4 linked regions of the Caenorhabditis elegans genome follow. The protein of the gene in region 4 purifies or fractionates together with the protein of the main gene of each other region. This does not show direct contact. Each region holds a gene or a part of one and is shown on either strand. Other genes may lie near its edges.

Region 1 (3,869 bases), on a different chromosome or scaffold from region 4:
TTTTGCATTAAAATTGATAAGAAACGGCCTAAAATCGATATTTTGCATCATAAAAAGAGCTTATAAACTGAAAATTTGAAATTCTCACGGAAATTGTGTTTTTTTTAGTTAAAAATTTTTTTTTAAGCTTCAAAAATTCAATTTTCCACTCGAAAACTGTCCAAAATGACATTTTTTCAATAGATTTATACATTTTTACACCAAAATCAACGTCAAAAGTCGTAAAAATTAATTTTTTTTTTCTTAAAAATAGCTTTAAAATCAGCTTTTTTAATCTAAAGGCTATACAAAAAATCTTCCAAATTAAGTAGAAAATTGGCTTTCTGGAGAAAAAATTCCAAAAACTGTGATTTTTAAGTGAAAAAAATTTGAAAATTTCACGGAAATTGTCGTTTTACAAGTTTGAAAAATCGAAATTATTAATAAAAAACTTTTAAAATCCAAATTTTTGGGCAAAAATTACAATTTTTTGCTCAAAACCACCAAATTTCGTTCAAAAATAAGCTTGAATCAGGGTATCGCGATTTTTTTTTCCATTTCTACATAAAATTGAAGATTTTTTCTAGAAAATTTGTATTTTCACATTAAAACATTTAAAAATGCAATTTTTCCGCGAAAATATGATATTTTTTAATGTTTTTCGGTGATTTTTGGCTGAAAAAAATTAATTTTTTCGCTTTTTAATCGATTTTCCATTAATTCCACACCTTCATCATTCCACTCAGAGTCATTCCAATCAACTGATCCTCCTTTTCCGGATGACTAATAATTGTAAAACAGCTTATCCAATCCGGTTCAACTCTTGAAGAAATTGAGAATACAACTGTCAAATCTTGTGGATCCATTACTTGAATATCACTATAATCTCCAATACAGAAAAGACGAGTTGCTCTCGTGTGACGGGACGATTTATACGTCTGAAATCAAAAAAATTCTCGGTTTTTTCGGCTAAAAATCGATTTTCCAGCGCCTACGTATGGATAAATATATCTGTGAATTGCAATAGAAGATGTTGAATCAATGCACCGTCCATCTTGAATCTCCCAGAGGCATACACGTCCGTCGGCTGAAGCTGAGACAAAACGTCTGGAATTTTTCGGAAATTATCGATTTTTTCCAAATCCTGCGTTACTAACGTATTTGTCGGTGTATTTGTTGTCTGAGAGATTGCTGTAATCTTTTGAGAATGTCCAATCATTAGCTGCTTTGGCATAAGTCCTTCTGCTAGCTTCCAAATAATAATGTGGCCATTTTCAGCGCCTGAAAATTTCGAAATTTCAGATTTTTTGTTTTATTGTTTAGAAAATTCGATGAATATTAACCTGTGATAATTGTTGCGCCATCAGGAAGCACACGAATTGCGCAAATCTTGTTTTCCGGCGGTTTCGGGCCCCAAATGACAACTGGAACGGAGAGCGCCGGCGATTTTGTGCCGGCTGGCGCGACTTCCACCATTTTTCAGCTAGATTTTCAGATTTACAGCAGAAATTTACACAATAATTTCATAATATTTAATCTGAAATGAAATCTGAATTTCTTCAATTAAATAAGCTTTTTTTTTAGAAAACTTTAATCGGAGCAAGAAAAGGGCAAAGTTCGATAGCCCGTAAATCGACATGAGATGCCGCGGGTCTCGCAGGGAAGAGAGCCAACATGGCATGCGCCTTTAAACTTGTGTGGATTTACGGGCAAACAGCCGTTGCGCAAAACAAATTTTATTTTTTATTTTATCATTTAAAATCAAAATAAACTATTTTCAATCGATTTTTTTTTGTTTTTTTTTGTTTAAAAATCAAATTTCAAATTTTTCTCATCGAAAATAATAAATTTCATCACCGAATTCCCTCTCTGTAACAGTTTCCGCTTGGTTTCCAATTTTCCAATTTCAGGGTACATTTTCCGATGAGTATAACCAAGGATACGCATTTTCCAAGTGACGAGGAGCTCACTGTTCCTCAGGAAATCACTTTATCAACTCCATGGCTCAAATCCATCGCTCCCTATATGGCAAAACATTGCGAAAAGGAGGCAAATGTTGGTTTTTCTGCCAAATTTTCGATAAAATTGAGATTTTTTGCAGGAGTTCATGCTTCGACGAAAGGAAGCCGAGGATCCACGTGCCGTTTTGAAGGAGGGAGCCGCGCTGACCGCGTGTGGAGTCAATTTTCTTCAATCTTTGAAGCGTTCCTGCCTTCCACAGACTCAGAAGCTCGCCGAATGTGTTGATCAGAGCAGTGCCAAGCTTTACATGTCAAAGTGAGCTTTCCAAAAATGAAATTTCATCGAAAATAAACCGTTAAAAAATTTTAACGTGATTTTTTTCCGAAAAAAAAAGCGAAAAAGCAGTAGAATATTCAATTTTCAGGTGCCATGACGACCAGAAGGAGCTCGATGCCTGCGTGGAAGCTAATTTGAACTTGACGCGTCCAAAGCTTGGATACTTCAGCAAACTTCATGTCTATGACTCGGCCACCGCGGCTCCAGGTACAGAAATTATAGAATTTACGATAAAATTAATTTAAAAATGCGAAAAAATCAATATTTTAGCTGAATTCTTCCACTGTTTTTCTCTCAATTTTTGTATGAACTTTTCAGAAAAGTTCCCAGAAACTCCTGAAACTTGAAAAATTCTAACGTTTTTGCATATTTTCCTGAAAAAAAAACCACTTTTTTGTTAAATTTTTCGCTTTTTTGACTATTTTAAAGCTTTTTAAAACTAAAAAGTCACGAAATTCACCTTTTTTCAGTCAAAAAAGCCTTGTAAAACTGGTAAAATTTGTATTTTTCGGAATAATTTCAAATTTCGAGCCAAAATATCACTATTTAAACCTTAATTTCAGACATTTTTTAGCGACAAATTCAAATTTCTATCCAAAAAATATTGTATTTTAAGTTAAATTTTGATAGATTTTGCGGAAAAAATCCGAATTTCAAGTCAAAAAAATCAATTTTTTCAGTTTTAGGCATCATTCCCACCTGAATTTCACGAAAATCTCACTAAAAACTCATTTAAAATCCCATTTTTCGCGGCAAATTCAATTTTCCCCAATTTCAGAGGTGAAGCTCCGTGACTACAAGGCAGAAGCAGCTAAAGTGCTCAATGAGCTTCCAGCCGACTATCATCTTCGCAAAGACTACCGTAAATACAACGACTGGCGCTACAATATTACTGAAAGCTAGATTTCTCTGAAAAATTGGCCGTTTTTCTGCAAATACCCTTCGTTTTCCCGTAGAGTTCTCTCCAAATTCTCCTATTTTTTTCTTGTTTTTTCCCGTTTTTTTTTCCAAAAATTTAAATTTTTTCAGCGAATAAAATGTAGATTTTCTTTAATTTTTTTTTTTCACTTTTTCAACCTTTCTGGTTTTAATCCGTGTGCTATTTCTAACAAATTGTGTGATTTTTTGCTGTGATTAAATAATTCGATTAATTTCTTATTTCAGACCTTATGGAAATCGTCTCAAGAGCATGGGAATCTGTAGATTGGGACCGAATTCAAGTTTTTTGGAAAAAAAAATTATTTAAAAAATCTGAAATTTCAGACAAGAGTGGAGGCTGAAGTGACAGCACTTGGACAACGACAAGATGACAGTGAAATTCGTAAAACACGATTGGTTGAGGAGAGTAATGCATATAGAGGCAGAACTAATAAGGTAAAGAATTGGAGAAAAATTGGCCTGAAATCCGGTGAAAATCGAATCAAAATATGGGAAAATTGCCGAAAATCCAGCAAAAATAGAGAGAAATTATGGAAAAAATGGCTGAAAATCCGGCAAAAATGGAAAGAAATTATGGAAAAAAAATTGGCTAAAATCCAGAGAAAATCCGGATAAATTGGCTGAAAATTCGGCAAAAATGCTGAGAATTTATG
Region 2 (3,272 bases), on a different chromosome or scaffold from region 4:
TTTTATTAAAATGGATAATATTAAAATGAGGGGAAATAATACACAAATCGAAAAAAAAGTGGCGGGGTGATTATATGCCAAAATATGTACGAGCCACATTAAAATCATTTATAGCCATACATTTACACCCACTGAAAATTCAAAATTTTCTTGAAATTAAAATGCCCACCCATAATGCTGATCCCCCGCTGCCCTCTCGCCTTCTCACCAGAGATGTGCTGCACCTTTTTTGAAACTTTCGGAAAATTTACAAAATTTTTCTTTTTTCGTTGTTTAGACGAAGTTTTTATTGGAAATTTAAATTATTTTGATTTTGATTGAAAGTGAAAAGTTCCTAAAAAAAAAGTAAAAATATTTCTGTGTTCCAATATAAATTTTCCAATTTTATCAACAAAAAAATGTGCCGCGCCTCTCTTCTCACCATCCCCTAGATTAAATTTTTGCGGGTGACTTTCTCTCCCTTCCCCACCCTCGCCCGTTCTATATATATATTATATACATAAGATTTATTTTCTTAATTTGTCCAAAAAGTGCCTCCCTTTCTGTTTTTCTCAGTTTTTTTTTCTTCAAATTTTGCATAAAAATCGCATTTTTATTTCACTACTACAGGAACACTGGGTTCGGCGCACACACAAAAAAAGAAACCGCTAGACATTCGAGTGGATATTTTTTACACACAAACAATTATTTTCCAATTATTTCGGTGGGCTCAAGTTAGTTTTGACGATGGCAGATGGAGTTGGAGCTGAAAATTTTATTTATTTCTCTCTGATTTTCAGAAATTTCAAGCCTACATTCTTGGAAGGAATACCAAGTTTGTTCAGCATGAGCTCTTCCGGTCTTTGCCACGTCAACAGCCTCTATCGGATAACAAAAGGCGGCCATCGTGGCCAAGCCGATGGTAGTGGTGAGGAGACGTCCGACCGGGCCACGTTTCAGGCCTAAAACGAATCCGGCCATTCCACCAACGGTGATTGCTGCGGCTTTTGGAAGAGCAGTCCATTCTTCTGTCAGATATGCATTGCATTTGGTCGCCGCTTTTTTTGTTTGAGTCATCGCACAATCGACAACTTTGAAGCGTTCCTGAAACAAAAATCGGTGATAAAAATATATTTTTCACAAAATTAGTTTAATTTTTACTTTTACTCAATTTAATGATATTAAAAATTTTCAATTTCCTCTCGAAAATGGATATTTTCAATGTATTTTTTTCTTTTGTGAAACACATTCGGTTTTCACTTGAAAAAACTACAGATATCAAATAATTACTTAAATACAAAAAATTAGCTAAATAAAATAATCCAAACTCTTCTTTTAAAAAAAAACCAATTAAAAACGAAATATAATTTTTTCTCCACATAAAATCGCGTAAAACTCACAGCAACACGATCATACTCCTGCTCACATGCGATACGAATAGTCGCGAATTCTCTTTGAAGAGGAAGTGGCTCTTCTGGAAGGAATTTCTGCTTCAGTGGAGCATTATCTTCAGCATAAATCGGAAGTTGCTCAATCTTAATAGGTTTTGAATCTCCATTATTCGTCGTGTTTTTCGAGGTGACAAGTTGCCAGAATTGTCCAAAAACATTTGTCACTTGTTCACCGGCGTTTGAAATTGTCTCCACAATCGGCTTGTCTTGTGTCATCTGGAAAATCAAGCGGTAAAACAATAAAATAATAAAACAAGAATAAATATTTTAAAATTGATTAGCTTATTATAATTATTAAAAAACCATGAAGAAATAAGTATTCCTACATTTGTGGCGCAAAATATCTCGTAGCGCAGGCTCTGTGTCGATTTACGGAGTTTGTGTTTATTCACGATGCGCCTTTAAACAATTATTTAAAATTGATTTTCTTTGTATTTAATTACCACTTTTTCATAAATCGACACCGACGCCTGCGCTACTATATATTTCGCGCCAGGCTTTCTTGTTTTTTTTTTAAATATTTTCTAACATTTAAACCCCTCTGAGGACGGTTTTAAAATTAAAATAGATAATTAACAGGCAATTAACCATGTCTTTAACCAATCCAAATTACCCTTAAAACACCCAAAATAATTTATTAAAAAAACGAAAATTGGGGAGATCTTTTGCATAACAAAACAGAAGAATAATAAACAAAGGATGTTCAGAATTTGGACAGTTTAGAATGGGGTTTTAAAATGGAACGTCAGTAATGGAAGTTTAAGAACGCGATCTTCTGCCGGCTGGAGAACGAGAGCGGCTGGCACGGCGGAATCTGTTGGGCCCTCCAAGTGGCATATTGTTGGCTCCTGAGCCACGGCCGCCCATTGGAGAACGTCTGCGATGTGGTGGTGGACTGCGGCCTCTGGAATTTGATGAAAATTATCAAAATATACTACTTTTCCTTGATTACTTACCCTCTTCTCATTGGTGACATTCTGTCTCTTGGTGGCGGCGAGCGTCTTCTAAATGGAGAACTTCTACGCTGGAATGGGACAGATTGTCGTCCGATAGTCATTTCGACGTGAACAGCCATTCCATCGATTTGTCCTCCATCCATGTGCTTGATCGACTTTTCGGCGTCTTCCAAATTGTCATATTCAACGTATCCATATCCACGATGAACATGGTTATGGAAGCGATCTGGTGGAAGATCGACATTCTTGATGGCTCCGTAGATCGAGAAAATCTCCTCGAGGTGCGTTTTCAGAACATTTCTGCTCAAATTTTTGATCACTACACGCTTGGCCGGACTGGCTGATCTTGCTGCTGGGCTTCTCCTCGGAGAAGCGCGTCTCCTCTGACGGCTCCCGCTTCTGTCACGACGATCACGACGTGGTGGCGATGGGGATGGACGACGGCGACGTGGTGGTGATGGTGATGGTCGCATTGGGCGATCGCGATCCGCGCGTGCTCCTCTTGGCGGTGAACCACGACGGATTGGAGAACGAGAGCGTCCTCCACGAGCTGGTGGGCGGGTATCACGACGACGTGGTGAGCGAGAACGAGAACGGCCACTGGACGATGAGCTGGAGGAGCGAGATCCTGATGAACTACTTCTGAAATATCGATTATTAAGCTATTGTATGAAAATTGTAAAGCATACCCAGAAGATGACGATCCAGAGCTACTGGACGAGCTGCTTGAAGACGAGCGAGCCCTCTTTTTGGTTTCTTCTTTCTCAACCATACTGAAAAATTATTTCATATACTCGAATAGACATCAACTAAGTAAGAAAATTTTCACCGCGTGGTGTTCGAGCAGAAGAAGAGACAGAATGTTGGCTAAAGCGCTTACTTTTTT
Region 3 (4,443 bases), on a different chromosome or scaffold from region 4:
ATTGCAATTCGAAAAAGACGACCGCAACGCACACGCGCCGCATTCCGAAGAATACAGAATGCAGAAAGCACCATTGTGCGCGAAAGCCGCGATTTGTCGGTTGCTGTGTTTTATAGGATCAGCTGAGTGAGCTGCTGAATTTAGCTTTGCGCTGGGGCGATAACGTGACCAATGAGGCTTTGCCGAGGTGCGTTTATTGCTGGTTGAAAACTTTTCCCAATTGCCCGCGATGTCCCCTGAAACATGGGTGGCATACGCAATTTTTGAACGCCTCTAGGAGGCAGAATATAAATACTGAACAGTTGAACATTTAGTTGGAAAACAGTATCCTTGGAGCATTCAGGGCGCTAGTCAACATTGTAGAGATGAAAAATATATTCCTAGGTAAAGTGTGCACAATATTAGTACCATTAAAATACGCTTGCCAATTTCTTCTATTCTTACTTTTTCTGGCATTACACCGTAATCGCGTTTAGATTACTACTCTTCTTATGAAAAGGTTTTATGGCACGTTTTCAGATTCATTTAAACTGGTGTATACAAGTTTTAATAGTCAGAAACCCAATCACATTTATCCATAAAATCGAAACGAATACATCTGACAGTGTTGGGCCAACTTGGGTGCATCTCACGACGATAGGATGTAATAAATAAGACAAAAATCGGAGACATGGGGAATCTGTACAAAAAAAAATGGGTGGACGGGCGAAAATAAGTTAATCGAGGACCGGAAAGAGAATGAAAACCGAATAGGGTACAATTAATTATGTGTCAGATATCTTGGAGTGGCGCTGAATTTGGCATATCCCTTGACAACCTTATTGATAGCTTCAAGGAAATCTTTTTCAGTTGCCACCTTTCTTCTAGCACGAATTGCAAACATTCCAGCTTCGGTGCAGACTGAGCGAATTTCGGCTCCTGTACTGTTTGGGCACAGACGAGCAAGTAAATCATAACGAATATCTCTTTCAACGCTCATTTGTTTTGCATGAATCTTGAGAATGTGAGCACGACCTGCAAGGTCTGGAAGAGCGAATTCGACTTTACGATCCAATCGACCAGGTCTCATGAGAGCGGGATCGAGAGTGTCCGGTCTGTTTGTTGCCATAAGCACCTGAAAATATCAAATTATTTTAATGAAACACTCATATTTACAATACATGTAAGCATTAATTTTTTGGAAACTTATCAAACGAAAAATGTGTGTCTTTTTTTTTGGATGAAAGGACTGAACTAATGATATAAACTGCCTTCAAGAAAGCAAGAGATAAATAAATTTATATTACAGATTTTTTTGGGTTATTTCCATAAAGAATTAAAGACAAACCTTGATGTTTCCACGTGGATCGAATCCGTCAAGTTGGTTAATCAACTCGAGCATAGTACGTTGAACTTCATTGTCACCTCCTTGTCCATCATCAAAACGAGCACCTCCAACAGCATCAATTTCATCAAAGAAGATAAGACATGCCTTCTTGGTACGAGCCATTTCGAACAACTCACGAACCATTCGAGCTCCTTCTCCGACATATTTCTGAACCAACTCTGATCCAATAACACGAATGAAGCAAGCATCTGTTCGATTGGCAACGGCACGAGCGCAAAGCGTCTTTCCTGTTCCTGGTGGACCGTAGAGCAAAACTCCTTTTGGTGGCTCGATTCCGAGATTAACGTAACGCTCGGGATGAAGAAGTGGAGTCTCGACAACTTCTCGAAGCTTTTCAATTTGATCCTTGCAGCCTCCGACATCCGAATATGTTACATCTGGTTTTTCTTCAACCTGCATCATTGTGACGGTTGGATCAATTTTGGCGGGCAACGGAAGATGAATTTGATACTTGTTACGGTCTACTCCTACTCTCATGCCCTCCTGAATCATTTTTCAATTATGTGTGAAATCTAATTACAATTTCAAACCTCAATATCAGTAGGTGCAACGGAATCAGCAAGGTCTACAACAAACTTAGCGAACTGTTTTACGTTGATCAAGTAACGCGGATCGTGCTTGTCGCTGGTGATAATTTTTGTGCATCTGGCAACTTGGAGAGGCTGTTCTTGCTGCATTGCTTGTTTATCAGCAGCAATATCCCATAGAGCTGGTGGAGCCAACCCGGTGTCTGATTCTTTCACTCCAGAAAGTTCGTTCACCTGTAGAACAATGAAATAAAATTAGGAGCACGATGAAATAAATACCTTCTTCAGACAGTTTTCAATATCCGCGTCCAATGTTTTGAGCTGTTCCGCGTATGGACCTTGCCCGTATCTTTTCAAAACAGCAATGTCTCCTTCGTCGAGAGCTAAATTCAATTTTCAGAATTAGTTTCCTGAACGATATCCACATACCCTGGAAATTCTTCTCTTCCTCCTTGGTATCATCTTTTTTAGTTTTGCGCATGTCATCTCCAAGGTGATCTGGCATTTTCTGCAAACGAACAAATATTTTTAGAAGAAATGAATATGGAAAAAGCTTTGAAATGAGAATCTCTTTTGAAAATTGATGATTTTTCAGTGTCGCCGGACGCGTCGCGTGTCGTCTGTCTGATAGAGCGCGTTAGCATTTCACGCGGGAGAATGAAATTTATGAAAAATATTCGTATGTCAAGTTGAGAAACAAAAGAAATGATTCATCTGCAAGAAAAAATGTATTTTTTGTATATAAATTTAGTGAAAAGGAATTTCAGATGTCCTCGGGGCGCTCTTGAAAAGTTTACTAAAACTTTTTCACATTGTGGAGATTTGTCGTCTGCTGGCAAAATCTTGTAACCAGCCTGCGCTAAATGTTTTATAGTGAATACTAGCATTCTTTGTACAGTATAGAATATGAAATAGCATACACTTATTCTTTAATATCAAATGAAAAAGCTGGAAAAATTGTAACTTGTAGCGACTACATATCCTCCTGGTTTTCTCATGAGTCCAAAAGTTGTCAAAAACATTTATCTTAATTGCTAGAATCAATATGAACCAGTTATAAAAACAAAAACAACGGTTGACCTATAAAGCAAGACACCGGTAAACCCGTGGTCAAATGGGGGGAAGAAAAGCCAAAAAACAGCGGAATTGGTTCGGAAGATAAAAAACAAGTTTCAATAAAAACCTCGTGAGTTCTAAATACAATCAAACCATAAATCACAGTTGTTCAAAAAAAAGATAATAAAAATTAAATTCTAATTAGTTAAGACTGGAACCGGGTGAGCTTCGGTATTAAATACCCATTTATCGAGTGAAATCAGTGATTCGTCTGCAAACGTCAAATAGGCATACTTCAGAAACTCGGCAAGGAAGAAGGATTGCATCACGTCCTCACGGCCCTGAAATTCAGAAATATTCAGAAAAGCCCACAAGTTCAGATACTTACAGCTTTAGGATTATAAACATTTTGTAGACCAGTAAATCCACTATCAACTCTACAGTACTTCTCAATAGCTTGAACAGCATCCCATACCCAATCTCTATACATTGTTTTTCCAGTTAATCTCCATAAATAGAACCATCCTTCAATGACTTCTGGTCTTTGAATATATCCATTTTCCGAGTGTTTACTGGTTGCTTCGTCACGTTCATTGAAGTAGAACATTTCAGGTCCAATGTGGGTCTCGGAACGAATATAGCTTTCATGGCAGGTTTTCGCCAACTCTTCCGCCAATGTCATAATTCTTAATTTCTCTTCTTCAGTATCCTCGTTGATGGCTTGTAGAGCAAACATTCCAGGTACAAAACAAGCGAGATGTCCCATTTTATGTTGAGCTTGACCATTGTTCAACTCAACTGTGTATGTAAGATTTGATTGTTTGGAAACTTTAATCATGCTGAAAATATGAAAATTGTTGGAAAAAGAAATAGAACAATAGAACTCACTGTTTCTGAATAGCATCACTGACGTCCCAATACATATTCTTAGCTTGCGTATCAGTATAATTTGATTGAACATAACTCTTGATAAGATATTCATAAAATGAATCACCAAGTGCTCCAAGGGACATATGACTTCCTGTGAATTTTCCTGTATCCGGATTAATGTAGTTTGAGTAGAGTCCATTAGGTTTTTCAGCTTTTTCAAGAGCATCTCTCACTTTCTTCACTTTCTTCTCAAAAATTGGAGCATTGGAAATTCTACTGAGATACAGGAATTCAAGATGAAGACTTCCAATTTCGGAAAGAATTGATTGTCCTCCATTAGCCCATCCATAGTTACTTGCATGTTTTGATGCTACATCCAAATTACTTTTTGGAATTCCAGATGGTGTATTGAAAGCTGGAAGTAAAGCTTCTCCAACTTCCCTAGCTTTTTCACTGAAATTAATTAAATCAAGAACTGAATTGGCCAAGAACTGAAAATCAAGAACTGAAACTTACATATAAAATGACTCCTGCGTCAAAGCATACAACGAAAGAAGACCTCCCAAAAAGCGAATAGTCGTCTCGAAAACTGAAAGTGTTGAC
Region 4 (3,444 bases):
CTCCTTGAGCCGCGACTGTGTGCGATCTTGTGGGGAAAAGCTTCGTAATGACGGCAGTTTTCATTCCACCTTCGGAGAGTCCCATCGCAGCTCTCAAACCGGCTCCTCCTGCTCCCACAACAACCGCGTCAAAAGTGTGATCAACGACATCAAAATTGGTGGTTGCGCTCACTTGTTTTCTTTGAAAATTGATAAAATTAGTGAAATGGCGTTAGAAAATAAATTATCTCACTTCATATAAGTGCGAACAGGTGTTTTCGCACGGTTTATCGACTTTACGACATTAAGCATCTTGCTGAAAATACAGGAAAAATATAGAACGTTCAGAAAAACAAATAAAAATCCGATAACGGTTGAGGTGAAACCAAAAATGAGTTGGCCGCGCGAACGATACACCGTAGTTCACACTTTCGGTGCGAGACCCACCGCTCAATTTTTGTTCCTGCGCCTTTAAGTTTGAAACAACTACGGTACATTTTTCTCTATTTATTTACATGAAATTTCTGAAAAGAAACGTTTCATTTGAAATTTTATCGTAAATTTACATCTTCATTTCATAAAATTCCAGAAGAGAAAAACAATACACAAACACGACTTTTAAAAACCAAAGGCCTGTCGTTCATTTTCGAAAACTAACAGTCTAAAAATGAAAACAAAAAAAAAAAGAAAATGATGTTTTATTGATAGGGGCCTAGAGCAGGACACGAACTCGAAGATTAGTTTGCCAATCCATCCAGATGAATGGTATTTACCAGAACCACTTGGACATCCATTGTGGGAACCAATTATCGTAGAATTTCGGTCCAGCGTACTCAGAGTGTTGGCGCCAAAGATGATCACGGGTTTCATTTGATCCCCTTGAGTGAACGAATACCTAAAAAATATGATAAGCTCCAGAATTGTTATAAATTTTTTACCTCAGTAGCAGTTGGATCCCACCACTTGTCTCCGAGAGTAAAGTACACTGGCTCTCCGTACCAGGTTCCAGTCTTCCATCCTGGAACATCCTTCATAATTTCCTCTTCCAGAGCACGATTCTTGGCCAACAATTTGAGCCAATATCTGTCACGCTCGGCAGTCAAGAACGGCTCCATTGCGTTGTTGATGTCAACATCTTCGAACTTTTCAGTGCTGTAAACTTGATATTTTTGGAGATAAATTCACTAGTTATCTTACATGTCCTTCTTCTTTCCTTCAAGAGCAGCATAGACTCCGTAGGCAGTAGCTCCGAAAATGGCGGCGACGACGGTTCCAGCTTAAATTTGTGATTGATTTTAAGAAAGTTTTGTGTTTTGAATCAAAATTTGATAGACAGAAACTTAAAAATAGAATACTGTTTCAACAATAAATTTGATAAAAATGTATTTATTCTTCGCGTTATATTATTTATAGAAAATAGTGTGAAATATCAAAAATTACAGCAAAATAGCAAACTGATCCCAAAATATTATGCTAAAAACGTTCTCTGTCATTTATATTTTATTGCTCAAGACAAACAGCTTTATTTTTATAAATAGCGTCTAAGCCTTTTTATTCTTTAAAGTTTCTTGAGAATCGTTTTTCAAAATATTTATTCTGTATTTCACAGCATTCTTCTCAATTTTTTCGGCGTTTTGCGTTGTTTCATTTCGAGTAATATTTTAAAGCAAAAAAAAACAACTCACGACTCCAGACAAGCTTCGGAAAAGTGCGATGGAAGTTGAATGCACGATAGCCTCCTTTTGGAGGCATATCCTGCCGAAACTCTGCTCCAGTGGCCATTTTACCTGAAAATAATGAATATAAATTCGATAAAAAACCGAATAAATTATAAAAATCGATAATTTCGTTGAGGAAAAAAAAACTTGCAAACAGAATAGAAATTGATAAGTCGGGCAAAATGTGCGGCACGGGAATGTGGGCGTGGTCTTCGTCGCAACACTGCGGCGCACTTTCACAGCGATTTATTATTTTGGCGCGTTTATCTTTTTTTTTTGAAGACGTATTTTGCATTTATCGCTTGTTTTCTTCTTGAAATTGCTTTTTTAATATAAAAATCTGCTTTCAAACAAAATTCAAACTTATTTTCAGTACTAAAATGAATCCAAATCATAATGAAGGCCTCCTCGAGCTGTACACACAAGCAATCTCACTCGAAGCTCTCAAAGACGCTGAGCAATTCCTCGAGAATAGTTTGCTAGGAAAAGATGCACAAGTCGAACGTCTACTCGCTCAAGTTCTCATCGAAGAGCAGCAAATCGAGACGAATCGCAAAAAGATAGCACAATTGAGAATCGAGAAAGAAGAACTGGAATTCGGTGGGTTTTCGGAACTTTTCTGGTTTTATAATAATAATTAATTAATTAATTTAAATTCAGATTGTGCAAATAGTGACCTGAAGTCGTTGGAGCAGATGCAAGCCGAGCGAGATGAGCTCCAGAGGAAGTGCCAACCGGGGCAGCACACTAAATCGGTGAGATAGGGGAGATTTTGAAGCTGAGAAATGCTTTTTGTTATCTGAAAACATTCAGCGTTTCTATTATTATTTTTAATTCTAGAATCACAAATCATCTGAACAACTTTTGAGAATGAAAAAAGAAACCGACGCTCTACGTGCCTACATGAAGAAGATAAGTCAATTCGAAGACTGAAGCCATCAAATGAATCTCTATCAATTATCCCTCAATTTAAATTAATTTCCATTCAAATCGATCTGTTCTCATATTTCCTCATGATGTGATTCTCTAATCTTTTGTACATCTACAAGTTATTTTGTTTTATAAAGCCACATCTCACTTATGCATAGTTTTTGTGTCCAAAACGGAAGTGTTATTGGGAAGAAAAAGTACAACATAAGGGAAGAGTGAAGAAAATCGAGAGACGCAGATATGACTTTTTATTTGCGAACACGAAAAGCAAAGTGACCAGCAGCATTGGACACTTTTCGAGCAAACTTTTCGTCCGAGGAGGAGCTCATTGAGCTTAAGTCTCAGAGCACTGACCATTACTTCGGTCACTCTACTGTTTTGAGAAGCGTTGAGCTCTTTCAATCGTGTAAAAATGTTACCAAAAACTGGATCATTCGATGGGATTCCTAAAAATTTCAGAGCAAGTTTGAGAAGTGAGTATTTATGGTCTCGAAATTTTTTTTAAATCTTGAATTCTTATTTTTGTTTTTCTTTCTCTAGTTACTCCCAGGATTAAACCAGTAAATTAAAAAAATGCACTTAAAAATTCGATAACTTCCTAGAGTAACTTCCTACTGTAAATTTAAAGGCGCATACACAAAATATTTTTCATAACGCGCGGCAAGACCAATCCACTAAATTCGTCCTCCCTTGAAGTTTTTCTGCCAAATTTCTCATTTTTCAGAATAAATTCCTGAAAACTTTTGAATTCAAAATTTTCGTGCTTAAAAATAAGATGTACGAGACAATGTAAACACCAAATATTATTGCACATGAC

What was found.
Region 1: the proteins of ndua-13 (region 4) and ndua-8 fractionate together in Caenorhabditis elegans (co-fractionation; one large-scale study listed by BioGRID). This does not show direct contact.
Region 2: the proteins of ndua-13 (region 4) and moma-1 fractionate together in Caenorhabditis elegans (co-fractionation; one large-scale study listed by BioGRID). This does not show direct contact.
Region 3: the proteins of ndua-13 (region 4) and rpt-1 fractionate together in Caenorhabditis elegans (co-fractionation; one large-scale study listed by BioGRID). This does not show direct contact.

What each region holds. Positions count from the first base shown.
Region 1 is NC_003281.10:2,527,174-2,531,042, forward strand, and holds ndua-8 (NADH dehydrogenase [ubiquinone] 1 alpha subcomplex subunit 8), read left to right. Parts: upstream 1-1,889; 5' UTR 1,890-1,902; coding exon 1,903-2,034; intron 2,035-2,080; coding exon 2,081-2,256; intron 2,257-2,365; coding exon 2,366-2,484; intron 2,485-3,055; coding exon 3,056-3,180; 3' UTR 3,181-3,329; downstream 3,330-3,869. Other genes in the region: rbc-2 (WD_REPEATS_REGION domain-containing protein), read right to left, coding at 708-917, 975-1,086, 1,137-1,260, 1,323-1,455; Homeobox protein cut-like ceh-44, read left to right, coding at 3,447-3,497, 3,541-3,651; cone-1 (Protein CASP), read left to right, coding at 3,447-3,497, 3,541-3,651.
Region 2 is NC_003281.10:850,751-854,022, forward strand, and holds moma-1 (MICOS complex subunit MIC27), read right to left. Parts: upstream 1,647-3,272; coding exon 1,380-1,646; intron 1,084-1,379; coding exon 795-1,083; intron 746-794; coding exon 696-745; 3' UTR 581-695; downstream 1-580. Other genes in the region: rnp-5 (RRM domain-containing protein), read right to left, coding at 2,190-2,334, 2,387-3,028, 3,076-3,158. UniProt on the Caenorhabditis elegans protein: Sustains mitochondrial morphology probably through maintaining cristae morphology. May act as a component of the MICOS complex, a large protein complex of the mitochondria.
Region 3 is NC_003283.11:11,979,976-11,984,418, forward strand, and holds rpt-1 (26S proteasome regulatory subunit 7), read right to left. Parts: upstream 2,423-4,443; 5' UTR 2,420-2,422; coding exon 2,344-2,419; intron 2,298-2,343; coding exon 2,194-2,297; intron 2,149-2,193; coding exon 1,918-2,148; intron 1,871-1,917; coding exon 1,328-1,870; intron 1,115-1,327; coding exon 761-1,114; 3' UTR 559-760; downstream 1-558. Other genes in the region: Mannosyl-oligosaccharide 1,2-alpha-mannosidase mans-2, read right to left, coding at 3,168-3,311, 3,359-3,809, 3,859-4,293, 4,357-4,443. UniProt on the Caenorhabditis elegans protein: The 26S proteasome is involved in the ATP-dependent degradation of ubiquitinated proteins. The regulatory (or ATPase) complex confers ATP dependency and substrate specificity to the 26S complex.
Region 4 is NC_003279.8:10,685,293-10,688,736, forward strand, and holds ndua-13 (NADH dehydrogenase [ubiquinone] 1 alpha subcomplex subunit 13), read right to left. Parts: upstream 1,767-3,444; 5' UTR 1,762-1,766; coding exon 1,665-1,761; intron 1,256-1,664; coding exon 1,177-1,255; intron 1,132-1,176; coding exon 918-1,131; intron 875-917; coding exon 749-874; 3' UTR 533-748; downstream 1-532. Other genes in the region: sdha-2 (Succinate dehydrogenase [ubiquinone] flavoprotein subunit, mitochondrial), read right to left, coding at 1-179, 233-291; kbp-5 (KNL (kinetochore null) Binding Protein), read left to right, coding at 2,078-2,297, 2,358-2,452, 2,538-2,630; tag-272 (Structural protein), read left to right, coding at 3,040-3,100.